7 linked regions of the Cricetulus griseus genome follow. The protein of the gene in region 1 purifies or fractionates together with the protein of each later gene. This does not show direct contact. Links are inferred from orthologs where the notes say so. Each region holds a gene or a part of one and is shown in the gene's direction. Other genes may lie near its edges. The genes, in order: Cul4a, Wdr61, Det1, Trpc4ap, Phip, Dcaf12 and Dcaf4.

Evidence for each region.
Region 2: the proteins of Cul4a (region 1) and Wdr61 purify together in Homo sapiens (affinity purification with western blotting; 3 studies listed by BioGRID, with this or other methods). This does not show direct contact. The link is inferred for Cricetulus griseus from reciprocal best matches to the Homo sapiens genes CUL4A and SKIC8.
Region 3: the proteins of Cul4a (region 1) and Det1 purify together in Homo sapiens (affinity purification with western blotting; 6 studies listed by BioGRID and IntAct, counting the BioPlex papers as one, with this or other methods). This does not show direct contact. The link is inferred for Cricetulus griseus from reciprocal best matches to the Homo sapiens genes CUL4A and DET1.
Region 4: the proteins of Cul4a (region 1) and Trpc4ap purify together in Homo sapiens (affinity purification with mass spectrometry; 7 studies listed by BioGRID and IntAct, counting the BioPlex papers as one, with this or other methods). This does not show direct contact. The link is inferred for Cricetulus griseus from reciprocal best matches to the Homo sapiens genes CUL4A and TRPC4AP.
Region 5: the proteins of Cul4a (region 1) and Phip purify together in Homo sapiens (affinity purification with western blotting; 11 studies listed by BioGRID and IntAct, with this or other methods). This does not show direct contact. The link is inferred for Cricetulus griseus from reciprocal best matches to the Homo sapiens genes CUL4A and PHIP.
Region 6: the proteins of Cul4a (region 1) and Dcaf12 purify together in Homo sapiens (affinity purification with mass spectrometry; 4 studies listed by BioGRID and IntAct, with this or other methods). This does not show direct contact. The link is inferred for Cricetulus griseus from reciprocal best matches to the Homo sapiens genes CUL4A and DCAF12.
Region 7: the proteins of Cul4a (region 1) and Dcaf4 purify together in Homo sapiens (affinity purification with mass spectrometry; 8 studies listed by BioGRID and IntAct, counting the BioPlex papers as one, with this or other methods). This does not show direct contact. The link is inferred for Cricetulus griseus from reciprocal best matches to the Homo sapiens genes CUL4A and DCAF4.

What each region holds. Positions count from the first base shown.
Region 1 is NW_023276807.1:67,640,986-67,644,485, reverse strand, and holds part of Cul4a (cullin-4A), read left to right. Parts: intron 1-1,224; coding exon 1,225-1,338; intron 1,339-3,500. UniProt on the Homo sapiens protein: Core component of multiple cullin-RING-based E3 ubiquitin-protein ligase complexes which mediate the ubiquitination of target proteins. As a scaffold protein may contribute to catalysis through positioning of the substrate and the ubiquitin-conjugating enzyme.
Region 2 is NC_048597.1:166,341,560-166,345,054, reverse strand, and holds part of Wdr61 (WD repeat-containing protein 61), read left to right. Parts: intron 1-189; coding exon 190-283; intron 284-1,355; coding exon 1,356-1,449; intron 1,450-3,332; coding exon 3,333-3,425; intron 3,426-3,495. UniProt on the Homo sapiens protein: Component of the PAF1 complex (PAF1C) which has multiple functions during transcription by RNA polymerase II and is implicated in regulation of development and maintenance of embryonic stem cell pluripotency.
Region 3 is NC_048596.1:118,770,930-118,775,123, forward strand, and holds the start of Det1 (DET1 homolog), read left to right. Parts: upstream 1-1,394; 5' UTR 1,395-1,533; intron 1,534-3,828; 5' UTR 3,829-3,943; coding exon 3,944-3,957; intron 3,958-4,194. UniProt on the Homo sapiens protein: Component of the E3 ubiquitin ligase DCX DET1-COP1 complex, which is required for ubiquitination and subsequent degradation of target proteins. The complex is involved in JUN ubiquitination and degradation.
Region 4 is NC_048599.1:23,921,342-23,925,556, forward strand, and holds the start of Trpc4ap (short transient receptor potential channel 4-associated protein), read left to right. Parts: upstream 1-1,415; 5' UTR 1,416-1,460; coding exon 1,461-1,628; intron 1,629-4,215. UniProt on the Homo sapiens protein: Substrate-recognition component of a DCX (DDB1-CUL4-X-box) E3 ubiquitin-protein ligase complex required for cell cycle control.
Region 5 is NC_048597.1:193,301,637-193,305,136, reverse strand, and holds part of Phip (PH-interacting protein), read left to right. Parts: intron 1-2,737; coding exon 2,738-3,375; 3' UTR 3,376-3,500.
Region 6 is NC_048595.1:101,264,967-101,269,032, forward strand, and holds the start of Dcaf12 (DDB1- and CUL4-associated factor 12), read left to right. Parts: upstream 1-1,266; 5' UTR 1,267-1,580; coding exon 1,581-1,658; intron 1,659-2,023; exon of another isoform or gene 2,024-2,251; coding exon of another isoform or gene 2,252-2,311; intron 2,312-2,632; coding exon 2,633-2,887; intron 2,888-4,066. UniProt on the Homo sapiens protein: Substrate-recognition component of a DCX (DDB1-CUL4-X-box) E3 ubiquitin-protein ligase complex of the DesCEND (destruction via C-end degrons) pathway, which recognizes a C-degron located at the extreme C terminus of target proteins, leading to their ubiquitination and degradation.
Region 7 is NC_048598.1:120,209,212-120,213,363, reverse strand, and holds the start of Dcaf4 (DDB1- and CUL4-associated factor 4), read left to right. Parts: upstream 1-1,352; 5' UTR 1,353-1,454; coding exon 1,455-1,482; intron 1,483-3,812; exon of another isoform or gene 3,813-4,011; intron 4,012-4,152. UniProt on the Homo sapiens protein: May function as a substrate receptor for CUL4-DDB1 E3 ubiquitin-protein ligase complex.

The sequences.
Region 1 (3,500 bases):
TTTTGTTTTTGTTTTTTCACTTGTTCTGAAATTGTCCAAACTTACAGAAAGTGTGCTAGGTGGTTCCTAGAATGCCTGTGTTTAGCACCGGCTATGTATATGGCATCTCTTTCCTGTTCAGTGGGCTTTGCCCTCACTGTATCAGAGCAGGTCTCCCAGAATTTCCCCAGCACTTCAGATGAGAAACTGCTCACTGGTAGGAGTCCCTCATTCAAGCTTTGCCTGCTATCTCAAGTGTATCCTTGATAGCTACTGTGGTTGAGCTGTCTTTTTACTTTCTTGAAAGTATCTGTCTTAGTCTGTTTTCTGTTGTTGCAACAGCATTCCTGAAACTGGGTAATTCTAAGGCTGGGAAGGCCAAGATCAAAAGGCTTCCAGTGATAAGGGCTTCAAATAGAGAAGGGGCTCAGGAGAGGTAGCCATACTGCTGGTGACTGCGAGCCTATGCTCACTCCCTTGGTGCCTATGAGGTCATTGAGGTCATTCATTGTGTAGTCTGCATGCACTTGTGAGTGTCCATGCTCATTAGCTTTTGTCACTGTGACAGAACTTGAGAGAAACCACTTACAGAAATGAAGAAGGTTCCTTTGTTCGTGGTTCCTTTGTTTGTGGTTTCAGAGATTACAGCCGAAGGTCAAATGGATCTAGCACTTTAAAACAGGAGCACCCCTGCAGCATAAGCATTCTGGGTCAAGGCTGCTCATCTCCTGGGTCCAAGAAGAGGCCAGGAACAGGACATGCTCTCAAAGGCATATCCCCAGTCACCTACTTCCTCCAAAGAGGCCTCACCTTTGAGTTTCCAGAACTTTCCAATGCTGTTAAATTACTAATTCATTGATAAGGTCAAAGCCCTCATGGCTCAATTGCTTTCCAAAGTCTGTGCTGGCTGCCAAGCCTGGAGCACATGAGCCTCCATTGGCCATTTCACTACAAACAATGATAGTGTGTGACACCAGCCCTAGCCAGAGGGAGAGGAAGTCGCTGGACTACAGGCACCATGTGACTCAGGGTACCCACATGTACCACTAGAGGTGACCAGCAGGAGTGAGTGAAGCCTGAGTGTCAAGCACCAAAACAGAAAAAAGCCAGAGGTCTCGGGCCTGTGGGTTCAGAACTCAGAAAAATAAATATCAGAATCTGGGCCTGCCTTCTCAGGTCAGCTGTGCAGGCCTGTGAGAGCTCTGTAAGGGTATGCTCAGTCTCTCTTGTCTCTTGGTTTGGCAGATGGTCAGACTTCAGGAAGTATTCAAGACTTTCTACCTGGGCAAGCACAGTGGTCGGAAGCTCCAGTGGCAGACAACACTGGGACATGCTGTGTTAAAGGCGGAGTTTAAGGAGGTCAGTTCTTTATCTAGTACTCTTGTTTCTTCCATTCTCCTGGGTGTTAGGAAAATTTTTCAGATTGTTAATTGAACTCCCATAGCAATGAAAGGCAAGTTTTTTTTTTTTTTTTCAATATAATGTAGCACTAGTTTTTCTTGATCAATAAAAATAACAAGTGCCGGGCGTTGGTGGCACATGCCTTTATTCCCAGCACTCAGTAGTCAGAGGCAGGCCGATTTCTGTGAGTTCCAGGCCAGCCTGGTCTCCAGAGGGAGTACCAGGACAGGTTCCAAAGCTACACAGAGAAACTCTGCCCCCCCCCCAAAAAAAAAAAACAAGTAAAGGGTAAATATTCTGCTTAACAAAAATCAATAGTAAATTAATCAACAGAAAACCATTTACCAGGGTCGGGAAATAAATCATTAAAGTACTCATGCTGCACAGTCATGAGGGCCTGAGTCAGACCCCCAGCACACACATAAAACCAGGTGTGGGTATCAGCAAGATGCCACAGCTGCTAGAGTCACCTGACAGAGTTGATTCCCCAGGACCCACATGGTAAAAGGAGGGAAACAGTTCCCACAAGCTGTCCATGACCTCCATGAATGCACCATAATAGGCACACCTGCACATACAGAAAAATGAACACAGTATATTACTTAAAACATCTGTAATAGGCATGGCTGCGCTCACCTATAACCTAAGCAGTAGGTGTGCAAAGACAGAGGGGAGTCACAGGGACTTGCTGGCCATCAGCCTCACTGAAAAGTAGTGAGATTCAAGTTCAGCAAGAGACCCTCCAGAGAAAAGGATGGAAAGCAGCATCCTCCTCTAGCCTCTGCATGCCCCCCAGCACACATGTTTACACAGGTACACACCACACATGCAGTCATTAAAAGAGCAGTGGGTGTGAAAAGGCAACTATATAAGAAACTTGAAACCCGGTGTGGTGAAAATGTACACCAGTTTTCTGCTGAACAAAAGGTTGCAGATTAAAACACAGTGAGGTGTGGCTGTGGGCCAGGATGCTGACAGATACCAGAGAAGACCAGCAGGTGCAGCTACCAGAGGGAATCAAGCTGTGTAGTGTCATGGAGAGTGGCATGTAGAAGTGTAACCATATAGATCAAAGCCCCCAGATTATCTACTTTTCACTGCCTTAGTTCCAGTTGTAAGAAGCAACCTGTTGTGGTGTTCCTGTGCATGTGTGCATGAGCCCAAGGAGTCCGAAAGCTGGTAAAATACCCAGAAACTAACTGCAGACAGCTCTGATTCCATACAAGAATAGCAAGCTCCACTGCTGAGCCTTCTCCAGCTGCTCCTTCTTTCTTCCTTTCTTTCTGTTAGCTGTTACGTCTTCCTTCTGTTGTAAAGGGCCAAGCCACTAAACAAAGTTTGTCATATGCCAAGAACCCAAGAGGGAAATATTTCAAGATTTCCACATACTCTCTTGTCAAGTCACTTCAGTTAGAGCTGGGAGTCCTTGCTAAGGCATTTCACAGATCAGGGGATAAGAATGCTCACTGCTGTTACCAGCAATCATGTAAGAAGGAGAGACATGGGCTGCATGGATATACAAGAGAAGCTTGTCACCAGGCAGTGCATGGGAGACAGCCTTCATGTTCACATCTAACTCTTAATATATAAATCATGTATGTTTAAGTATGTCACGGAGAATACTCCAAGTTCCTGTTTTGTAGAGCCATTATTCTAGTACACTGTATACTGCATAGGTGTCACATACACTCTTCTGCAAGTCCAGTTCTGCCACCTGTGTCTTTGATTGCTTTCTGACTTAGGTAAGAGCTGACCTCTCAGATAGCATACAGCCCCTAAAGCTTTCTGCTCATGTGAGTCAGGGCTGGGTCCAACAAGAGGTACCCAACACTGCTGCTCCCCCAAATTCCCTTCCTGTCCTTTGTCTTCTACGAAACTGTTAGATTTCATGGTACTGGCTGGCATATGAGCACTGGGACATTCTAGATAAGAGCAGCTGAGCAGTGGAGACGGTGCTGATGGAGCACTATTTGTTTTTGAACCAGGTGTGGAGAAGCACTCTGCAGGCCCTTTTTTCCCAGGCTGTTGTCCAGCCTTCCTGTGCTCCACCCACAGCCTCAGCAAGCCATGTGTGATGGTACATGTTCATGAGCCCAGCATTCAAGAGTCAGAGGCAGGAG
Region 2 (3,495 bases), on another chromosome or scaffold:
AAGGAAACCTGTCTGTCGAGGCGCTTTAGCTGTGGTCCCCTGCACAGACCCTGCAGTGTTCATTAGCTGCTGTCTTTTGGTGTGGTTTGCTGGCAGCCAGTTAGATGTGAGGCCAGCAAAGCAAGGCGGGTTGTATTCAGAAGGGACAGGCTAACCAATTTGTCTCAAATCATCCATCTCTCCCCACAGAGTCCTGATGGGAAATACCTGGCCAGCGGAGCCATAGATGGGATCATCAATATTTTTGATATTGCAACTGGAAAGCTTCTGCATACGCTGGAAGGTACCCACAACCCCTCATCCTAGTTTGTGCTCACTGGATGGATATCAGGTCACAAAGCAAGAATGCTTCTTTTATTAAAATACTAATTATATTGTTTTTATCTCTGTTGGAAAACTGAAGTACCACTATGTCTTAGACATAGCACTGTGGTTTTAATCTGGACACAATAGTTCTTTTTTAGTGATGTTGATTAGTTTTTATTTATGTGTGTTTTCTCTTTTTTCCTCATGAGCTTTGTGATTGCAAGGCTGTCCATCTCCACACTGGTGGCTTTGGGAGGAGGACAGAGCAGGAGACAGAGATTGCTCCTCTTGTGTCTGATTTTGAATTATAACCAAGTGCATGTATTACCTTAATTTACCCTTTACCCAACAGCAAAAGATTTGGTAGAGAAATAATATTATTGGACCTTACAAATATTATTTGTCCAACTTTACAAATCAGATGCAGCCTGTATTTCCATATTTGGCCATATTTGTAGGGCGTTGGGGGGGGACTGTTGTTGTTTTGTTTTGAGACAGGGTTTCTGTGTAGCCCTGGATATCCTGGAATTCACTATGTAGACTAGGTCTGCCTCTGCCTCTGCCTCCTGGGTACTGGGATTAAAGATTTATGCCATTGCCACCCAGACAGGTCTTTTGTTTGTTTTAAGATTTTGTGTATATGCGTGTGCGTGCACATGCAAAGCACAGAAGCCAGATTTCAGATCGCTTGGAGCCAGAGTTACAGATGGTTGTGAACTTCCAGCTGTGGGTGCTAGAAACTGTACTTGGGTTCTCTGTGAGAGCAGTACATGCTTTTGACCACTGAGATATCTCTCCAGCCCCCCAATTGTTTTGATTTGAATTTTAACAGATTATATTGAGACCTAGCTGATTAGAGAACTAAGAAGAAATGGCTACAGGAAAGAGGTTGGAGGCCTGTGGGAGTGGAGGAAGGGTCTAGTCAGTACCTTCTTCTCTGACTGAAGCTCCAGGGTTGTTCCAGCTCAGTGACTAGTGGTCATTAAAAGGGCACAGTTAGAAAGCTTGTGTGGTGGAGCTGCCAGCTTAACAGCTTTTCTGAATTGCAGGCCATGCGATGCCCATTCGCTCCTTGACCTTTTCCCCTGACTCCCAGCTCCTCGTCACAGCTTCAGATGACGGCTACATCAAGATCTATGATGTGTGAGTTACCTTTCCAAGAGTAAAGGTCTCAGCAACAGCTTTTTCCCTTTACTGATAGGAGCCACTCTAGGAATTTGTGCCTGCTCTATGGCTATAAGTCAGCTCAGATGCTTTGAACTCCCAGTCATTTCTCTCCCAGCCAGCCCCTCCTGCTAGAGCTTAGAGTGTGTCCCCAAGGTCTATGTGGAGGAAAAGTACATCTATCTAACCCTAGAAGGATTAGACACTGCTGCTCTTTTTCAGGGGTCAGGTGGTTTGGCTCCCTGATATTCAATTCTTCTGGGTAGATATGTAGCATACAGCTGAGGAAATGGAGCTCTGGCTATAGCTGGCCTTGGGTGTCTCTTCCAGGCTCCTGCTTTCAGCAGATATGCAGGCTGACTTCTGGTTAGGGAGCCCCAGGGTAAGCTGCCCCATAGGTCTAGGTGGGGAGCCTCTTGAGGTATGTTCTGGACTGACGGCGTAGGAGTGAGCAGATTGCTCTTGTGTGCTCAGCACCACCATTGAGGGCCCATACTGCTCTCCCTTCTGTTGTGTTCCTCCCTCCCACCTTCTCATTCCCCCGCTGTTGCCAGTATATGCCAGTATATTTGTGTTGTCCTGGGTTTCATTATGAGTCTCCATGCTAAGTGTGCCTCTAGTTCATCATTCTCCAGTTCTTTTCTAATCTGTCTTACACATTTCTCACTCCAATATGTCCTTTGGGCCTCTGTGAGCTGTTTGAGAGTTGAACTCTGCGATCAGAAGGGCATGCTGCTTTTGACATTAGTGGTGAGAGGATTCTGGGGCCACAAGAAGAGACTCTCAACATTGCATGTTTTGGGTGTCTCTCTTTGTTAGCTTTCATTGATGCTCTTCCATGACTTCCCAAGCTGTTGAGGCAACATGACATAGTGCCTCCACTTAGCTGGCTGAAGAGGTGGTAATTGCCCTAGCAATAGTGAACCTCACGATTTCTTACTCTCTGCACTTCCTGAGGCTTGTTTTTAGAGGCAAAATTGCTGACCTCAGGCCCAGGTTGCTTCTCCTGGCATAGGCATTTGGTTTCCTGGGAGAGATGGGTGGCTCAGCAATTAAGAGCACTTGCCAGTCTTGCAGAGTTTAGTTCCCAGCACCCATGCTGGGTGCTCACAATTACCTGTAACTACAGCTCCAGGGGTTCCATGTCTCCCTGTGGACTTCATGGGCACCTGCACACAAGTGGAACACACACATAAAATAAAAATCTTTTTCAAAGTAAAAGAAACATGGAAATAGTTGTAGGAATTGGGACTAGCTTGGTTTTTTGCTTTTTTGTTTTTGGCTTTTTAAGGTATTTTTTTGGTTTTGATTGGGTTCTGTTGTTTTATTTTTGGTTTTGACAGGGTCTCACTATCTAGCACTAGCTGGCCTGGAACTTGATATGTAGAACAGGCTGGCCTCAAAATCACAGAGATCTACCTTCTTCTGTCTCTCAAATGCTGGGATTAAAGGCATGTGCCACCATACCCACCTATCTGCCTTGGTCTTGACCAGGTCACAGATGTTCTGTTGAGCCACATATCCTATGATGGGCACATCTCGATGCTTTCCTCTCATCATGGGAAAGGTTCTACTGCAGGAGGGTCTGGCTGGCCTGCTCACCCCTGCTACTCAGTCTCTTCAACTTGGAGTTGGCTGAGCCATCTCTGCAGCCTCCAAGCTCTTGATATTTTTAACTTAATGCTGCTATAAAAATGTGTCTGGTGTTTACTGCTACTTCACTGAAAATGGAATTTATGACATATGGCCATTCTGATATCACACTCAACCATGTGAGTGGAGCTAATAGTTCATTAACCAATTCCGAAATTAGAGTCCCCTAAATTAGCATCTCCATTCTGTTTGAATCTTTCTTCTTCCAGACAACATGCCAACTTGGCTGGCACACTGAGTGGCCACGCATCCTGGGTGCTGAACGTCGCGTTCTGTCCTGATGACACTCACTTTGTCTCCAGGTACGTAGGAGTCATAAATTTCTAAAGTGGTTGGCAGGGGAGAGCAGTCTTCTGATAATGTGCCTTAAAA
Region 3 (4,194 bases), on another chromosome or scaffold:
AATCACAGCCCTGCCACATGTTTGTTGAGCTTTGCTTTGGGAGAAAGTGTCATGTAGCCAAGGCTGGCAAACTTGCTTCACAGCCAAGGCTGGTCTTGAGCTCCTGATTCTCTCCTACCTTCACTTCCTAAGTGCCAGGACTATAAGATCTGTGCCACTACCCCTACTGACACTTATTCTTGTGTGAACTTGTGCAAGTGATATATGCCTCTCTTTGGGTCTTAGTTTCATCATGGAGAAGGAATATGCCCAGACAACTTCAGTAATGTTTTATCAAGACTTCAGGTGTTTGAAGATAGCATATTTAATACTTTGGATAACCTTAAGGGGCAGGTATAATCATTTCCAAGAAAAGGCAGTAGAGGCTCTGAAGCCACCACCTGAGAACACTCAACTTGGAAATGTTAGGACTGGGCCAGAAATCTTTCTCTTCACAGCTACTCTATATCCCTAAGTCACCTTTCTTCCTTTAGCTTCAATCCCTTGTCCTTTTCCCACCTCATAAAAGTCAACCAATATCTTTTCCTCGTGGTGTTGTGTGCAGAGTCTTTTTGGGGGGGAATTGGGGTGGGGACAGCAAGGTTCAACCTGACCTCCAGTTCTATATCCTATGCCTCATAAGAACTGGGGATATATGCATGGACCACCACTCGTGGCCCTCTGCTGGACTCTTTATTGAGCCTCTGTAAGATGGCAAACCTTGTTATAGGTGGGCCTGGAACAGAAAATAAGACAAAAAAACCTGTCCCCAGTTTATATTCTACCAGAGGGCAGAGAAACAAAATGCATAGCAACAAAAACAGATATTAGACTCAAGAGTGAAGAAATAGTGATGTTGGTGACACGGGAGCCTTAAGAGATGACATTTTGTGTTTGGTTTCCTGCCAAAGCATTGCAAAAATAAACAACACACACACACACACACACACACACACACACACACACACACACACACACACCACACACACGTAAAGATGACATATATGTAAAGACTTGAATGATCCAAAAGAGGGACAACTTAGGGTTAGACAGCCTAGGAGAAGCCACAGGCTCATAGGGAAGAAATAGCTTGTAAGAAATTAAAGTTCTATGTTAGTGAAAGACCAGAAAATGTTACGGGATTCATTTAGTACAGAAGATTTTATTGTATGCTCTGTGCCCACCAATAGCAGCGGGCCCGGAGAATGACACGGTGCATATATAATCACATTTTCCACCATTACAGGAGAAGTCGGTGAAAACTTAATTCCTATTCACGTTATTATGAAGGCTCCGGGCTTTTCACCCAGCCTCGATCCTTCGATCCCTCCTCCCGACGCCAGGGTGCGCTGCGCCGTTCCTCAGCTGGGTGGCGTCTCGCTCTTCCGTACTTCCCTTCTCGCTGCGCAGCACTTCCGGTAGCCGGCGGAAGCAAGGGGTCTGTGGCTGCCGACGCCGGGGTCCGGAGGCATGGCGTGGGCGGGGCAGGGGGAGGTGTGCACCGAGCAGGCTAGGGCGACCCTTGCCCCGGCCCCATGAGCCAGGACCCGACAGGTGAGGACTTGTCCTTTTCGGCCGGTGGGAGCTCCGCGGCGGGCTCCTCTCCGCATGATACCCGGGCCCCAGGAGCCCCGGCGCCAGGCTTTGCCCGTGAAGGCTCCGCCCTGGGCTTTTCTTTCCGGGGGCGCCCCTTGGGCATGTGTGTCTGCCTCTTGGCATCCTTTTCTTGTTTTGGAAGCAGTCGCCAAGTGAGGAGACATCTGCACTTGCTCTAACGAGGAAAAAAAACAAAAGAAAAAAACCAAAAAAAAAAAAAAAAAAAAAAAAAAAGAACCCTAACAATTTGCTTTCACACATTTAGTGACCCGATTTAGCCTGGCTTTCTTTTCGTTTCAGAACGTACCTAAGCGTCTACCATGTGCTAGCCCTAGAGCTAGATAAAGAATATACCGTGGTGACTGAAGTAGACCTGGTTACTTCCAGTAGAAAGAGTATAGTTCAGCGAGGAGAATTAAACATTAAACACAATCATGCAATCGAACATGCAAATAAAAGTTGTGACTGAATACTATAGAAAGAACAAGAAAAAGATGAGTCCTAATTTAGGGAGGATGGTAGGGAAAAAAAAAGACTTCCCAAAAGTTGACACTAAGGTTGCAACAGGAAAAGTTAAGGCAAGGACCAGGGAGAATGCATTTGAGAAAAGGAAGGTACCTCTGTGTTTTCCCACGTTGGTCAAGAATATGACTTGAGGTAAGCCCAGTGTTTAAGAAGGGAGCTTGGTAGGTGTCAAGCACTGGGGTGGGCATACAGAAGAGGTGTGTAGCTGACCCAGAGAGATCACTATAAGTATACATATAAGTAAAATACAGAGAATTGCAGGGAAAGAGAGGTGTGGCTACCGTGTTGGGATATCAGGTCTCATGAAGTGAAAAAAGGCCTTCAAAGACAAGATGTTGGAGTTGATACCCCAGGTAGTTCTCAAAGGTGAAGAGTTTAATTTCTACAAAGGCCAGATAGTATATTTCAGTCTGTGATCTGTTACAGACACTCAGCACTTCTTTCCTAGGGCTAAAGTGGCCATAGGCAATATGTAAATGAATGAGTGTGGTTGGGTTCCAGGGAAAGGTTCTTTCCTAAGTCAACCAGAATAGTAGTTTAGAGTCTGACCTCCTCAGGTCTAGCTCAGCATGCGGTTTAGATCCTTATCCTGTGGAGTAGTTTATCCATGGATAAGTTTGAAACAAAAGGATTGCAAAACAATACCCTTACTATATGTTGTAACTTTTTGTTTGTTTTGTTTTATGGTGCCGAGGATCTGGGCTACTTGTTAGCAGAGCCTTTGCCAGAATCACCTCCACCCCAGCTTTTGATTCCTTTCTGATGATTATTGATGTACTTTCTTTGTTGGCCATTTGTATGCCTTTGGGGAAATGTCTTTCAAGTATATCTTATCTGTCTGTATTTATTTATTCATTTATTTTTAAATAATTGGGTTTTGTGAGTATTTGTTGGGTTCTGGGAGTTTTTTTAAATAGGCTGAGTATTAACTCTTTATTAGATATTTGACCAGCAAATATTTCTGTTCATTTTGTAGGTTGCCATTTCACTTTTTTGGGGTGGTGGTGGTTGTTGTTTGTTTTTTGAGAAAGGGTTTCATTGTGTAACTCTGGCTGTCTTGAACTTGATCTGTAGATGAGGCTGGCCCCAAACTCACAGAGATCTACCTGCTTCTGCCTTTCCAGTGCTGGGATTGAAGGCGTGCGCCACCAAGCCTGGCCCCCTTCCACTTTCTAGTTGTAACTTTTAGTGTATAATGTTTTTATGTATTCATGTTTAATCATCTTTTAGATGTGTTACCCATGCTTTTGGTTTCACATCGTAAGTCATTAGATCCATTTTCATCGAGTTTCTCCCTGTGGTTTCCCTTGAAAGTTTTATAGCTATAGGTCTTCCACTTAGTTAATTCATTTTGAGTTAAGTTTTGTAAATGGTGCAAGATAAGGGTGTAATTTTATTTCCAAGATTCTTTTTGCTTATGATATCCATTTGTCCAGAAGCCGTGCGCTGGAGAAACTCCCCTTTCCTGTTGTGTGGCCTTGGCCTTACTGAATACCAAATGCTGTTTGCCCATGTGTGAGCTTCTTAGGGTTTGGCTCCATATCTGGGAAATCAGCTTAAAGGAGGAGAGCTTTGCTGTGTCTTAGTTACAGAGGGCTCAGTCCATCATTTTGAGGGAGGGTCTGGCAAACGGGAAGCAGAGAAAGGGGGGTAAGGAAAGGGTCAGAACAAGATTTAGCCTCCAAAGTCAAGTGTTCATATCCTGTTTCCTCTGCTTCTTCCACTCAGGCTTTCCTTCTACCCATCATCACCTCCCAGTAATGCTGCCATTATGAATCCACAAGATATCAATCCGTTGATTAGATCAGAGCCCTCATAATCTAGTGGTCTCTGGAACTGACTTATGGACACCCAGAGGTATGCTTCACTGATTCCTGGAGCACGGTTCTCAACCTCCCTAATGCTGTAACCCTTTAATACAGTTCTGCATGTTATAGTGACCCCCCAACCATAAATTATTTTTGTTGCTACTTCATAACTATAATTTTGCTACTGTTATGTATTATAATGAAAATGTCTGTGCCTTCTGATGATTTTATGTAACCCCCGTGAAAGGATTGTTCAGCTACCAAAGGAGTCGTGGCCCACAGGTTA
Region 4 (4,215 bases), on another chromosome or scaffold:
GGAGTCATTTCTTTCCTTCCACCAATATTGGTCCAGGGAACCCAACTTAGGTCCTCAGTCTTGACAGCCCACTGCCTCTACCTGCTGATTCATCCCTCGAGCCCTATTTTATTTGTTTTAAACCAGACAATCTAGTAGTGATCTGCTGGAGGTGAGCAGAAATCATACTTTCTAAAGTGGGCATTTTAAGATGGTAACCACGCAGGTCGCTGGTGGCGCACACCTTTAATCCCAGCACTCGGGAGGCAGAGGCAGGCGGATGTCTGTGAGTTTGAGGCCAGCCTGGTCCCCAGAGTGAGTGCCAGGTTAGGCTCCAAAGCTACACAGAGAAACCCTGTCTCGAAAAGAACAAAAAATTTAAACAAAAAGATAGTAACCACAGTCTAGTTTGTCCTGGCAGTGCCCATAAATGTCTGTTGTTTTAGTCTAATTATTTATTACATCATTTCACACTTTACGGGATTTTGGTTTGTGTAACAAATTAAAGCCTCCTTTGTTACAAGCAGCAAACTTCATGACATCCCAATTCAGCACATTCAGCTCTCCCTGGAGAGAAAACAGGGAAAGAGTGGTTACCGCTGCCGCCGCGCTACAGCGGTTCAGAAGAGAGAGAGAGCACACTAGCGCAGGGAAATCAGCGCAGTGTTCTGTTTGGCAGAGGCTACGACTTACCAACCCCACTCCTTGCATTATTTCACTGAACTTGACCACAACCTCGCCAGTTACATTTCTTTGTGTGTGGACTTGCTGTGGTCCCTGTAGTCTCAATCCCCTCACAGGGTGCTCCACTGTTCTGCTCATCACCGCACCCTCCACGTCCTCTATTGTTCAGTGTGAGGAGTACAGCTGGCTCCCTTAGAAATTATTTATTGACATCTGTAAAATCTCAACACAATTTTGTAATTCATGAAATGTTTTCTACCATTTTCTTCGAATCTTTTATATATTATTTACATAAGATATATTTGTTAATTATAATACAAATGTTAGTTGACTCATCTGAGCCCATATTGAATGAACTAACTGAGGAGCAAGGGTAGACTTGGCTGGAGGCAGTCGTAAAAAGAAGGGGACAGAACTCAGAATCAAGTGTCAATTCTGGCCTAGGGCCTTTCACTAGCCACTCGGCTGCATCATCCCTAAACAGACAAGAAATTCGAGAGCATGCCCACGCAGCGATCAGTCTTCCATCTGGAGCAACCTCACAGAAATGCTGGAGGTGGGATGTGGGGAAACAGGTGGGTCCAGGAGGCCAGCATCTCTGTCATCTGCCCGACCTCGGGAGAAAGACTACACTTCCCATAAGACCTCCGGGCGCGCACATTTCCCCCCACCCCCCCGCCACGCGGCCTGCATCTCCGCGTCTGTCCACTGGGGGCGATGTGGAGAGTCCTCCGCCGCCCCGTAGAAATCTACGCGGCTCTGGGGCCGCTTGCTTCCTGTTTGTCGGACGAGGAGACATGGCGGCGGCGCCGGCAGCGGCTGGAGCTGGGGCCAGCCGGGGGAGACAGTCGGCAGCTACAGCGGCGGCATGGGGCGGCTGGGGAGGCCGGCCGCGGCCCGGTAACATCCTGCTGCAGCTGCGGCAGGGCCAGCTCACCGGTCGGGGCCTGGTCCGGGCGGTGCAGGTACGAGGCCGGCCCGGAGGGGCGGGGCGGGGCGGGCCAGGCTGGAGCTGGCCAGGGGCCGGGACAGAGGCCTTTTCAGGCCGCTGCGGGACCGGCCAGATCCCCCGTGGCTGGCCGCGGGGTTGTCCTCAGTGCCGGCCGGCCGCTGTCAGCCGCGGCGGGACGATGGACAGCGGCCGGCTGGGCGGCCTGCAGGTCTGGGCCGAGTGGGGTCGCGCTGCCGGGGTGCGGATGGCGCGTATGAGCCCTGGGCCGAGTTTCTAGATCCTCATTTCCCTGCGCCACGTCTGCATGTCTGGGGGCCCTTGGCGAGTTGGCTTCATCTTCTACTGGCCTGGCGTTTGCCCCTTGTGAGCAGGACCGGGTCCTCCTCCCTGCAGCCCCCCAAACGGTTCGCAAGCCTATCGTAGATGTCATCTTCTCAAAGAGGCCTTAACGTTGCTCCCCCTCTTCGAAAGTAGGCCCCTATTGTTATTCTGTCAAATCCTCCAGTTCGTTTTCGGTTGCATTATTTTCCTAGCCTGTAATTGCATATTTCTTTGTTGTGTGCCCTTTTCACGCCTGTCTCCCACATTAGGCTGAGCTCCAACGGGTGCAGAGACTGTTTTGCCAGTGTAGGGCGACATGCTTTGGAGGAAGAACTTTAGTCAAGCCCGAGTTCAAAGCCCTACTTTCTGTCTTGCTTGTGCAAGTTATCTTTCAGTGACTTAGTTTCAGGTTATTGCTAAATTCAAAGGAGATAGTAGTGTAAAGTGTTAGTGCATTTCAGGTGCAGATAAGGGCCGGAGAGCGCTCAGTTAAGGTTATATTTAATGCCTAGCTTATCATCACACCGATTGATACGCAAGTCCAGTACATGCGTGGCGTGTGTGTGTGTGTGTGTGTTTGTGTGTGTGTGTGTGTGTGTGTGTGTGTGTGTGTGTGTCTGTGTGCGCGTGCGTGCATGCGTGCGTGCGCGCGCGTAGGTGCGCGCACAGGACACTACTTTGAATAATGCAGGATGGATGACTCCTCTCACATTTTCCTCATCCTCTCAGGTGGTCCCAGAAATTTGCTTTGAAACGGAAGTTTAGCTGGGTGCCTGCCTTTAATCCCCAGCAGTTGGGAAGCAGAGGAGGCAGGCGGGTCTCTGTCTGTGAGTTCCAGGGAAGCCTGGGCTACAAATTGAGTTCTAGGACAGCCAAGGCTGTTACACAGGGAAACCCTGTTTTGAAAAACAAACCGAGGAGGGGGTGGGAGGGAGATAGAACATTAGCTTAAGTAAAAGATAGTTTTGCATATGATTTTCAGGAACACACAAGAAACCAGTTGAGTGTTGAATTGGAGAGGAGTGGGAATTAGGTGTGTGGATGAGGGAATGGAATAGGTGTGAGATTTTTTTCAAAGTACCATTACATATTTAAAATTAATTTTGAGCCATTTGAATATTACTCAAAGGACTAAAAGGGTGAGGGTGAGATAGTCTGTATTTGTAAAGGGTTGCAGATGAAGGAGCACTTTTGGGTAGCCATATTTTCTTACAGAAACTGTGGATGAGCATCTTTCCTTTATTGCATTTTTCTGCATCTGCCCTAAGAAGATCTGAGGAATACTTGTTCTGTCCTTGAAGTCAGGATATGTCACTGAGCTCACTATGTAGAGACAAGCAAAGAGGGGACTGACCTTTAATAATCACATACTTTGGATCAATCAGTGTGCAAGGTGTTCATGTTTTGTTTTGTTTTTTTTTAAGTAAGTTTACTTTTGAGACAGGCTCTTCCTACATAGATCTGGCTGGCTTCGAGTTTATTATATAGATTAGACTAACCCTGAACTTGAGGTAGTGCTGGGAATACAGGTATGTTCCACCACATCCAGCAGTTTTCAGTATTTTGAGCCATGTGCTGAATTCATCTCTTAATACAGATGAGGAAATTGAAGTTCAAAAAGGTTAGGCAATGAGATTCTAAATACCCCTTCAGATAATCTGTGTCCTAAAAACAGTGAGCCATAGAAATCTTTAACATGCTGGATGAGGCAACTTAGGGAAATAATTTGTTTCCAGTGTTGAAACTATGAACTAGGAAACTATGTTGGAAGACTGTTGGATTATTCTTAAAGCCTGTTTTGACTGGGCATTGTGGTCCTCACGATTACTCTGTTAATCCCCAAAGTTTGTTTGGTTACATTGCTTTCTTAGCCTGTAATTGCATATTTCTTTGATAGTTTTATACAGGTGAGGGAGTTGTTTCAGAGGTTGAATTAGGAATTCCTGTCCTCCAAATAGTAGTGATAATGGAAACCTTTACAGTTCATAGTTTCCTCTCTTAGTAGAGTTTTTAGTTTTCCTCCTTGCTATGCTCTCCCTATCTTCTCTCCTGCTATGCAGAATAAATCATTTGCTCAACCATATTTCCTTAGTGCAGTACACATATTGGTTACCGCATATGGCACAGTAAAAAAGTGCCAGGTTTTTAAAAAACGTTTTGAGGGGGTGGTGGAATGGGAAAGAAAACAGATTTCATTAAGTAGACTACAAGGGGCAGCAGGTTGGGCAGTAACAATAGCACCACCTGCCAAAAAATACCTTTTAAATAAAAAAAAAAAT
Region 5 (3,500 bases), on another chromosome or scaffold:
TAGATTTCCATAATGCTTTTTTCATTTATCCTTAGTTTGGATTAACCTGCCCCCAACCTCTCCTCAGTCCTCCTATCTCTACTCACACTTACAACTCTGTGTATTCCCCTACCCCCCCTTCATGTGACTTGTGTTTGTGCATTGTCTAACTAGTTTTGATTTGAGCTCCATTTTGTGAGATAACTAGAATAACAAGTATTATTTCTCAATTCTGTTTGACTTGAACACCTTTTCCTGTTCTTTTATCCTAAAATAGAACCCATTTCTAGCCAATCTGCTAGTCTGTGCCTTTTGTTGGGAAATTGAGGCTATTGATATTCAGAGTTATTATTCAAAGTTATGTCTGTGTTCTTAGCATTTCATTGTAGTGTTTGGTTGGTTGGTTGGGGTTTTTGGTGTTTTGTTTTTAGGTTTGATTGTATGGGGATTGTGTTTTCTTGGACCTTCTCCGGCTCCTTGAGTGTGTTTAAAATCTTTCTCTTCATTTCTATGTATTCTTTCTATTATGCTGACCCAGTGTTATTAAATTCCTTTAGCGTTTTTGTCCTGGGAAGTTTTGATTTCTCTTTCCAATAATAGATTTTTTTCAGAACTTGGAATACATCTTTCTAAGGCCTTCTGATTTTAAACATCTTAGTTGAATAATTAGGTTTTATTTTGATGGACCTGCTTTCGTAAGTGACTTGACCTTTATCTAAGTACCCTTTCGTTATTCTGTGGTTTTAGTGTTCTGACAGTATGTGTTTTGGGGTGGGGTTTTTGTTTTGGGTTTTTTTTTGGTTTGGCTTGATTTTTTTGTTCCTTTGTATTTGGTGTTCAGTTACACCTCTGTACCCGAATAAGCTATCTCTTACTCTGTTTGATAAATTTTCCTCTGATTTTCCTGGGAAATCTAGCATAGTATTCCCTTGTTTTTTCTATGTCCATAATTTGCGTGTCAGATCTTTTCACAGTACCTCAAAAAAAAAAAAAAAAAAAAAAAGAAGAAAAATGTGTAATTCACATCTTTTGAGTGATCTAGTTCCTCTGCTTGTGCCTTTTAGTTTAGTGCCTAATTAGTATGTTTTCATGTAAAGCAAAGAAAGCACACAAGCCTCAGGCAGTTTGTGCTGTAGAAAATTCTTTGTTTCCACATTTATCTACCACGCCTTCACCTCCCAGTTGTAAAACAGCTGATCTAAAGAAAATCATTTATGGGAGGCTTGCAGGGCTTTTGGTGTTTTTCCTTTTCACTCCCTGTTCCAACTTGTTGAATTTCTTAACTTTTTAGCATGGAATTAGTTAAAAGTAAGATTTTTAACCAAGATAATAGTGGTCCACTTTACAGAATTGATACAGTGTCAATATTATATGATTACAAATTATCATTTGCCATTCAGTTACATGAAGAGAGACTATTTGAGTAGCATGTAAAAAGGAAAAAAACTCCTATTCAATTTTTTTTATGGTGAATATGGCTTTGTATGTAGGTGTGCACACATGTGTATGCATATGGAGGCCAGCAGTTGATGTTACATATCTTTCTCGATCACTTGCCTTATAGTTTGAGGCAAAACCTCTGCGCCTAGATTTCCCCAGTTGGCTTGGTTGGTTGGCCATTGAGCTCTATGGTCCCCTGGGCTCTATTCCCCCAGCGATTGAACTTACATATGTATATCACAATGCTTGGCTTTTTGGTGGTTTCTGGTGACCCAAACTTAACTAATCACCTTTCCAGCCTTCAGTTGTTCTTGTTGCTTCATCCTCTTTAAACAAGTAACCAAGAATAACTTACTTATACATTTGCAGATGAGAGTAGGTGAGGAATGTCAAAGCCATGGCAGTTTTTGTGGAGATTAACTGATAAAAATTACTGCAGCAGATATACTCCTAATTATCTTGGGTATGGAAATTAAGAAGGAAGATTCACTCTGTGACTAGGGAACATAAGGAGATCTTCAGACTCGAGACTCATTTCTGATAGAGAAGTTACTGTGGTCACAGTCATAGGAGATGAAATAAAAGCTAGAAATTTCCCAGTCTTTATTGTCTGAATAATCTTCTCACTGGTCAGATGACTGAAAGTAAGTGAGTAACAGTTAACATGCTTATTTATTGGAAGGACCAGATTAAAAAGCCATAAAATTGTTATGCTAAGAATATTTTTCCATGATTTCTTAAAAGTGATACTATAAAAACACCCTGTGTTTAGTAGGTTTAACAGTAAAAGACTTTGTTGTGATAAACTGCAAATAAATATGATCATTTCATTCGATTCAAACAAAAAACTCTTTAACACATTAGAATGTGTAATAAAGGAGGTAGGAGGTAGACATGGCATTTCTACTCTTTGCTGTCAGTGACGACATTAACTTTGTGCTTAAGTCTTTCTTTTTGTCTTGAGAGTCTTTTCCCGGGGGTCAATAAAATGGGCCAGCAGGTTTACCCCGCAAGTCTGTGAGAATAGGAGAGAACTCCCTCCCAAAAGTTGCCCTCCACTTCCACAGATGCATGGTGACTCATGTGACACTCACACATAGACATCATCATCATCATCATTCAAATGTACACACAATAAATAAATTTTTAAAAATAAAAAGACTAGGTAATAGCTGCAGAAATTTATCAATTCTCTTATTTTAGTAGGAGTTTTTTATTATTGTTTATTATTATATCATTACATAGACGTATTCTAGGGTTCTTACCCATTAGTTGGCGGGCTAAACAACACATTAAACATACTGTTTTTTCCTTTCAGGAGATTGTAAGAACAATGTTCTTATAGCAGGAACCATTCAAGTAAATGGCCATGGAGGACAGCCATCAAAACTTGTGAAGAGAGGGCCTGGGAGGAAGCCTAAGGCAGAAGCTAACACCAGCAGTGGTGAAGTTATACACAAGAAAAGAGGTAGAAAGCCCAAGAAACTGCAGTGTGCAAAGCAAGAAAACTCTGAGCAAAATAACATGCCTCCAATCAGGGCTGATGTGGTTCCTTCTTCAACATGCAACTTTCTTTCTAACACTAATGCTGTTAAGGAGGATTTGTTACAGAAAAAGAGTCGTGGAGGCAGAAAGCCCAAAAGGAAGATGAAAACACAAAACCTAGATTCAGAACTCATAGTCCCTACTAATGTTAAAGTGTTAAGGAGAAGTAACCGGAAAAAAACAGATGGTCCTATAGATGAGGAAGAAGAGTTTGAAGAACTCAAAGGCTCTGAACCTCACATGAGAACTAGAAACCAAGGTCGAAGGACAGCTTTCTATAATGAGGATGACTCAGAAGAAGAGCAGAGGCAGCTGTTATTTGAAGACACCTCTTTGACTTTTGGGACTTCTAGTAGAGGACGGGTCCGAAAGTTGACTGAAAAAGCAAAGGCTAATTTAATTGGTTGGTAACTTGAAGCAAAATATTGTACTTCAAAATCTATGAAACAGGTACAGTTAAGGAGTAAGTAGAACTAAGGTTTCTGCTTCCTGGCTGCTATGATGGATTAGGGAATGTTACAATTTGACTTAGGAAA
Region 6 (4,066 bases), on another chromosome or scaffold:
AACTGTGACAGCAGATCTTGGAGACCTAAAAGGGGGTGATGTTGAATGGAAAGTGACTTGCCAGTCTTGGTAGAACATACCTTTCACTCTTGCACTGTGGAGGCAGAAGCAGGAGGATCTCTTTGTATGAGGCCAGTCTGATCTAAATAATATAGTGAGTTCCAGGCCAGCCAAGACTACATATTGAAACTCTGTCCCAAACAAAAAACAAAAAAACGGGGGAAAAGTGACTTGAGGTTCCATCAGGAGTCAGGATGGAGAGGAGGCTAGGGAGTAAGGAAGAAGGAAGAAACAGATAATGGAATCTGAGAACTCCCCCCATGTGTGGGTGACCTATGCCAGGTACTTGGCCAAGTGCTTGGATGTGGGAAAGTCTGCTGCTGCTATGGCTTTCTACCCTGAATCCATCTTGAAGCAAGATGAAATAGGGTTCTCTGCCTCCCTCAAGGTGTCCAATCATGTGTGCCCAATGATAGTTTGTGAGAGATTTGAAAAAATGTGCAGGAGTATAAACTGTTATCAGAGCTGTAAGAGTCAGAACCTGAGCCTTGGCAGCCTTAACTAACTAGTTGGGTCACTCATCCTCAACAGGTCAATTAAAAAGACAAAAGTTGAAGTGAAAAAAAGAGATATTATAATTGGAAAGCACAATGACGTCTGGTGGCATTCTCTACTCCAAGTCCATTTCCAGGGTTCTGTTAAGTGGTATAGTTTAAGCTTACATAGAAGACAAAAGGCATACACAACTAAGCAGTCCTTTGTCAAGGTGTGGTCGTTTCATTTCCAGTTTCTCTGGTAAGGTAGTCTGACAAGTTTTCGGAACTGTGAAATATCCTTCCTGGAGTCAAGTTCCTCTGTTGGCTGGCATCTGTGACAGAGTCTTTTCCTTCTCCTTGAATAAGACCCCCAGGGAAATTGCAATCTCTGGAGAGTCCAGTGTTTTAATAGTCTGATTGCAAACGGGCATCCATCAGGGTTTTTAGAATATCTTTAATCAAGCCAGGATGGTTAGAGGTTTAAGATTGGAAGAGATTCCTACCCGCGGCGAGGCAGCTCATTCTTGCTTCCGCATGCCAGAGGATGAGCTGGCTGAGGTCGGAAATGCCCCGCCAGAAGGCTGGGTTCCTTTGGCCACAGCTTGACCACAGCTAAACCACCATTGGTAAAAGGGAAGCGGAAGTTCTCCGACAACACCAATTCTCCTTGCAGCCCTGAAGTCCCACCCCTCTGATCTAGGCGGCGTCTCCGTGGCGACGTGCTGCGATGTGCGGCTGCGCAGGAGTGACGGGCTCGGGTGATCAGGAGGGGGTGTTTTGGTTCTCGCCGCTCGCCGTCCTTTCCAGACTTGGCTGTCTGAAAGCTGCTCGATCCTGCTTTGCCTTTTCTTTCCCAGCCTGGATTTTTCCCTCCTTCCCTTTACGCGCCTCTCTTTGATCAGCTGCCGCCCCGGGTCCGGGCCATTTTCCGGGCCGGGCGCACGAAAGCGCGCGGCCCCGGGGCCCGGTATATGACCCGTCGCCCTGCCGCCCCTCGCTTCCTCCGCCCCATGTGGCTGCGGGGCCACGGCGGCGCTGCCCACTATGGCCCGGAAAGCAGTTAGCAGGAAGCGGAAAGCGCCTGCCTCGCCTGGAGCCGGGAGCGACGCTCAGGGCCCGCAGGTGAGGGCTTACAGGCTAGGGCGATGGTAGAACCCCAACAGAGGCTTAGGGAGTTCCAGCTGAGGACCGGGACCAGGGACCAGGGTGGGACAAGAGCCGCGGCCGGTCCTTCTGCAGTTTACTGACGTGCAGGCGAGCCGGAAGGGTGAAGAGCCAAAAGGAAACTCCAAAATGACGCCTTCCGCTGAAAGTCTGCAGCTAGGGATAGAGCTGGAGGAGAAGCCAGGACCTCCTGGTCCCGCGGGAAACTGAGTTCAAGGGGAGTCTGGGAAGGAGACCGAAGTCAGGCTTCCAGTGGCACACCGTGAATGTGGCCCGATTGTCTCTTAGCAAGGAAACAATCTCCTAAACTGGAGGCTGGTCCTTTTAGACACCTAGAAGAAACACCAGGTGTCATCTCTACTGCCCCCTTTGGAGAGGAGGGCCCGTCGGACTCGGGATTCCGACGCTGGTTACTCTTTTCACCCCGTTGGTATTTGATTTTTCGAATTCTAAAACTGCCCGCAGCGCAAGTCGCGCGGTGTCAGATGAGCGGCCACTGACTACATCCCTAGAAGATCCGGGATCCCACTCTGGCTCATTGAATACCCTTTATGCTCTACGGGGAGCACAAGCGGAGAGGGAGAAGGGGACTGGGTAGAAATGCAGCCCAGGTGGGTTCGGTAATCTGGGCCTCATTTCCTTCCCTGCCAAGGACACCGAGTATATAGGGTTTCTAAGTCCTCCACTTTCCTCAGTGGTCTAGTAAACCTTTCATCCTGTTTACCCATTTTCCAAGTAGGCATCACTGCGAGAACCTTATTTCAGTGCGAGACGAATTAAGATGTACTTTCTGGGTTGTGAGTCTTCCGTTACATTTTTGATTGTGTAAATCCTGAGGGACGAACTCTTGGTTGTTGTTCTCTAATACAGTGGGATTTCTTGTCATCGAGGGAAGTGGCCAAACATCTGATTTCTGATGTTGATTTCCACAGTTTGGCTGGGATCACTCGCTGCACAAGCGGAAAAGACTACCCCCAGTGAAAAGATCCTTGGTGTACTACCTGAAGAACCGGGAGGTCAGGCTGCAGAGTGAAACCAACTACTCTCGGGTGTTACATGGTTACGCAGCACAACAACTTCCCAGTCTCCTGAAGGAGAGAGAATTTCACCTTGGGACCCTTAATAAAGTGTTTGCTTCTCAGTGGTTGAATCATAGGCAAGTGGTGTGTGGCACAAAATGCAATACGGTAAGTGGCAGGAAGACGCTCTCTCTCTTAGGTCTGACATGCATGGCTTCACCTGCTCTAGAGCCTTTCTTATCTGTGCATCGCCCAAATTTGTTTACATTTTCTTTTGTGTAAGCAGATTTGGAATTTATTAAGAGATTTTCAGTAGAAGCGTTAGGACAGAGAGGTGCTCAAGGAAAGAACAAACCCAGTTGTGGGTCTGGGGCTCTTCAGGAAGAAGTGCCCCCATCAGTTTCTTTACTCTCCATTCCTTCTAGTTAATGGCCTTGTCCCCTCTTTTTCTGCTCTTTTTCTCACTTCTGCATCTTTTGATGGTGTCAAATGAACGCATGTCTTTAGTCCCTGGCTCTGTATATGCTTCTGCTTCTGGTGTTTTAGCCTCATCTTTTAAGCAAGAGACCTCAAAGCAAGGACAGAAATTGATGCTCAGAATCGCCATTCAGGATACATGATAGTGGCAACTTAATTGCTGTGTGTCAGCCATTGACATATGTAGAAGTGTTTGGAATTTGGCTGAAAGTAAAAATAAGGCAAATAACTTTTTTTCCGTGTAATAGAATCCAAACATAGCACTTGGATGGCTAGGGAGTAGAATTGCTTAAGTTCCAGGCAGGACTGTATACTGAGAACCTGTCTCAGAAGAAACAAAAAGGAAAAATGAGTAGTTTCCTATAAGAAAGACAAGCCGGGTGGTGGTGAACACCTTTAATCCCACCGCTTGAGAGGCAGAGGCGGATCTCAGTGAGTTGAAAGCCAACTTGGTCTACAAATCAAGTTCCAGGACAGCCAAGACTGTCCTGTTACATAGAAAAACCCTGTCTCAAAAAAAAAAAAAAAAAAAGAAGAAGAAGAAAAAGAAAGAAAAGAAAAAGAAGAACTGGCTGTGGTGGGGCACACCTTTAATCTTAGCACTTGGGAAGCAGAGACAAAAGTGGATCTCTTTGAGTTCAAAGCTAGCCTGATCTATAGAGTTCCAGGACAGCCACGGCTTCATGAAGAAACCCAGACCCAGTCTTGAAAAACAAGATAGAAAAGAAAAAGGAAAAAAAAAAAAAAAGATAAGAAATGGGTACCTGGTGGTGTATTTTAGGGTATGAGCGTTTGTGAAGAAGAGGACATGAGAGTAGGGAACAGTTTTAAAGAGAGTAACAGTTATAAATAATTGGAAGGGAAATGTTA
Region 7 (4,152 bases), on another chromosome or scaffold:
TGGCGTTGTCCCGTCGTCATCCGTGTGCGGGTCTTACCCCCCACACACACACACCCCCGCCGCCTCTGCCTCCTCAATCCTACAGGGACCTCAAGGCTTTACATAGAATCCTGTCTTTTCTTTCTCCTCCGTGACTACCTTCGACGTCACTGCTGTGCTGCTCCACCCAAGAGACCTCGGCTAAGCACAGATTTAGTTGTTACCCAACAAGGTTCCAGTCTCTGAAGCCTCACAGGTTTCCCTGCTTCCATCCACCTTGCTAAATCTTTCAGGTTCCTCACCGCCAGCCCAACCAGTAGCTGGAACAGGCTTCCAGTTACCTATTCTGTCAGTTTGGATTCTTTGCTCCCCCAAATACAGTAAGAACAAGCCTGTTTGCGATCCCCACCCTAGCCTGGCCTATTTGAACCAACTCTCCCCACACTTTTCTTCTTTCCCCCTCAGAGACTCCTTTGCTCTTTCCACAATACAATCATTTCACACTTCTGACCTATCACGGATTTCATCTTCCTTGGAGTGGTCCTCCGGGTTGTGAGCTGGTACAGGCACGCTAGATATCATTCTGGAAATACTGTCTAAACATACTTTTGTCTGGAGATCATTAAATTAGAATATCTTCTCGGTTTACTTGTTACTGTGGAAGAAATTAAGGCGCAGAGAAGAAGTGCGCACCCTAAATCACACAGCTCGCAGGAAACACGCAGATTCGAAGCCACACTCCGCAGTCTTGCGCACCTGCAGTCTCGAGGACTCCACCTAATCCTTTTCTCTCTTTCCCCCTCAAAGGCTCCTTTGCTCTTTCCACAATACAATCATCTCTTCCCCACAACATATCAGTGTTAACTCTGGCTCATGTACCGACCCCAAGCAGAAAAAAATTTTCTCCGGTACGATCTGCAGCAAGAGAGAAGACGAGCCGGGCGTTGGTGGCGCATGCCTTTAATCCCAGCACTCGGGAGGCAAAGGCAGGTGGATCTCTGTGAGTTCGAGACCAGCCTGGTCTACAAGAGCTAGTTCCAGGACAGCCTCCAAAGCCACAGAGAAGCCCTGTCTCGAAAGAAAGAGAGAGAGAGAGGAGAGGAGATAGAGAGGGGGGAGGAAGGGAGAGAGAGAAACTCCGTTTGCCAAGAGGGTGTCTGGAACTCAGGTAGCAATCTCCAGCCCCAGCCCCGCCCCCAAGCGCACCAGGCTCCGCCCCCAAGCACTCCAGGGCCAGGCACTAGGGGCTCTGACGAAGCGGAAGTCCCAAGTCCCGCCCTCTGCATAAGACCGCTCCTGCTGGCGTGGACGGGCAGAAGCCTGAGCCAATGAGAAGGCAGAGCCAGTCGCCTTAGTCCTATGGGCTGCTACAACACAGAACGTGAGTGTCTTTCCGGGTCCTCGCACGCCTCCTCTGTGCTCCAGCCGGACTTGCTAAGCTTCGGAGAAGCAACGGTGCAGGTAAGCCTGCTCCGATGCCCAGTGCGCTCCTGGGTGCCGAAGGTGGGTGTCACTGTACCCACGCAGACGTCGGGGAAGGCCGGGCTAAGGGCAGGAGGAATGAGCACGTGACACGACCGGAGTGGGTGTGGGCCCGGGCCTGGCGGGCCCTGCGGGATCCCCAGGGTCACCTGCTTAAAGACCCAGGGCCATCGCCTCCGTTGAAATTCGGACTGTGATGGAGCACCAGCCCAGTAGCGCTTTTTGGTATAAATTCTGGAAGACGTTCTTGTTTTAGTTTTGTTGTTTTGTGTTTTTATTTTTATGCGTATGAGTATTTGGCTTGCATATGTATGTGCGCTGCAAGCATGCCTGGTGTCCACGGAGGCCAAAAAAGGTCGCACAGATCCCATGGAACTAGAGTTACACGTGGTTGTGAGCTGCCATGGGAGATGCTGGGAATCAAATCTAGGTCCTCATTGCTCCTAACCACTAAGCCTTGTCTACACACACATACACACACACACTTTTTTTTTTTTTTTTTTTTTTTTTTTTTTTTGGCTTTTCGAGACAGGGTTTCTCTGTGGCTTTGGAGGCTGCCCTGGAACTAGCTCTTGTAGACCAGGCTGGTCTCGAACTCAGAGAGATCCGCCTGCCTCTGCCTCCCTAGTGCTGGGATTAAAGGACTGCGCCACCACCGCCGGGCATTTTGGGGGGTTTGTTTGTTTTGGTTTTTGTTTTTTTTTTTTCTTTTTTGGGGGGGTTTCCACACCCACACCTTTTAAAAGAGCATTTATTTGTTTCTTTATTTGGTTTTTCGAGACAGTTTCTCTATAGTTTTAGAGCCTGCCCTGGAACTCGCTCTGAAGACCAGGCTGGCCTTCAATTAACAGAGATCCTCCTGTCTCTGCCTCCCTGGTTCTGGGATTAAAGGCATGCGCCACCACCCGGCATATATATATAGAGAGAGAGAGTTGCGTGGGGGGGGGTGCACTTACACTCCTGTGTAAAATGCAGAGTACTGAACCAGGGTCCTCTGTAAGCAGCAAGTGCTCTTAACCACTGAGCCATCTCTCCAGCCACAGTTGTCTCAGACACAGAAAGAAAGGTTAAGGGTGGCTTGCCTGAGATTTTGTGCAGGCTGGTATATGGAAGCATTAGAGCATTAGTAAGCCCTGGTGTGGACCAACCTCCATTCCCCGACACACCACGTGTGTGTTAGTGAGAAAGGCAGTCTGGCCAGGCAGTGGTAGCACACACCTTTAGTCCCAGCACTTGGGAGGCAGAGGCAGGTGGATCTCTGTGAGTTCTAGACAAGCCTGATCCTCAAGAGCTAGTTCCAGGACATCCTCCAAAGCCACAGAGAAACCCTGTCTCTCAGGAAAAAAGTAAAAAAAGAAAGAAAGTCTGTCCACACCATTTCTTCAGAATCTGGGTGCATTTGTGGTCTCCCAGGTGACTTTGGGGAGCACAATGCTCTCTCCACCTTGAAGATCCATAGACACCATCATGTGTATTGAGCAGAGCAGTAAGAAGGGAGGAAAAAAAACCTAATGAATCAGCACCTTGGAGAAGTGAAAAACCCCACTGTCTGGAAATTGAGTTGTAAATAACAGTGGAAATTAATTGAGGTGTTGTCCTGTGGGTGATTTTGCCCTGAAGTGTTGGGGACCTCTTCTTGCTCCTTTAATGCAACTTTGTTAGCTAGATATTGTTAGTTCTATAAGCCTTGGTTTCCATGTTGTAAAGAGGGGCTTGATTTTATTACTGTTATATGGATGTTTTTGTGCAAGTGTGCATGTAGAGATCGGGGGCAACTTTGTGGAGGTGGTTTTTTGCTGTGGATTCAGGGATGGAATTTTAAGGACAGGGGCATGTGTGGGTGAATGCTGTTTGTGTGGGAGTGACCTCAAGGCCAGAAGACTGTTGGATCACTTGGAACTGAGATACAGGAGGTGGTGAGCCACCTCATAGTGTGTTCTGGAAACCAAACTCAGGTCTACAAGAGCAGCAAGTGCTCTTAACTGCAGAACCATCTCTCCAGCCCCTCGTTTTATTTTTTACACTGGACAGAAGTCCTACTGAGCCACTTGCATTTTCCCATTTCCCTCCTTGGTCCACATGGTCCACACTATGGAGGGTAGAAACTTATTGAAGGGGCCATTTTATGCCGGGTTCTAGCAACCAGTGGCATTAGCACTTTGCATCTTACTATGTGTTAGGAATCAGGGTCTTACTGGGTTTTCCTATGATTGCATTATTTCTCACCTTATTTATTGATGTGATTTTTGTGTGCATATTAAGTGAGTGTGGTTGTGTGGAAGTTAGAGGACAACCTGAGGTGTTATTTGTTACCTGCCTTGTTTGACACCAGGTCTTTTGTTCCCTCTTAGTTCATAGAGCTAGCTGGCCTTGGAACTTATGAGGAGTTTCCTGTCTCCACCTCCCATTTTACTGGAGAAGTGAAACCTTGTTTTGGGAATTCTGACCCCGCTAAGTGGCAAGTGCTTACCCTCCTGTCTCCCCAGCCCTCACTGAATACCATAGCATGCTGTTAGTGCATTTGCAAGGTTGTGCAGCCACTGTTACTATGTAAGTCCCAGGGTTTTTATCATTATCCCTAAACCCCAGGTCCCAGGTGTTAGGGTAAAGTGATATAGTCCCAGGACCCCAACTAAGATGTCCCCCAAGTGCATTAGCTGTTTACCTGATTGTGGGCCTGTACCCAGCATC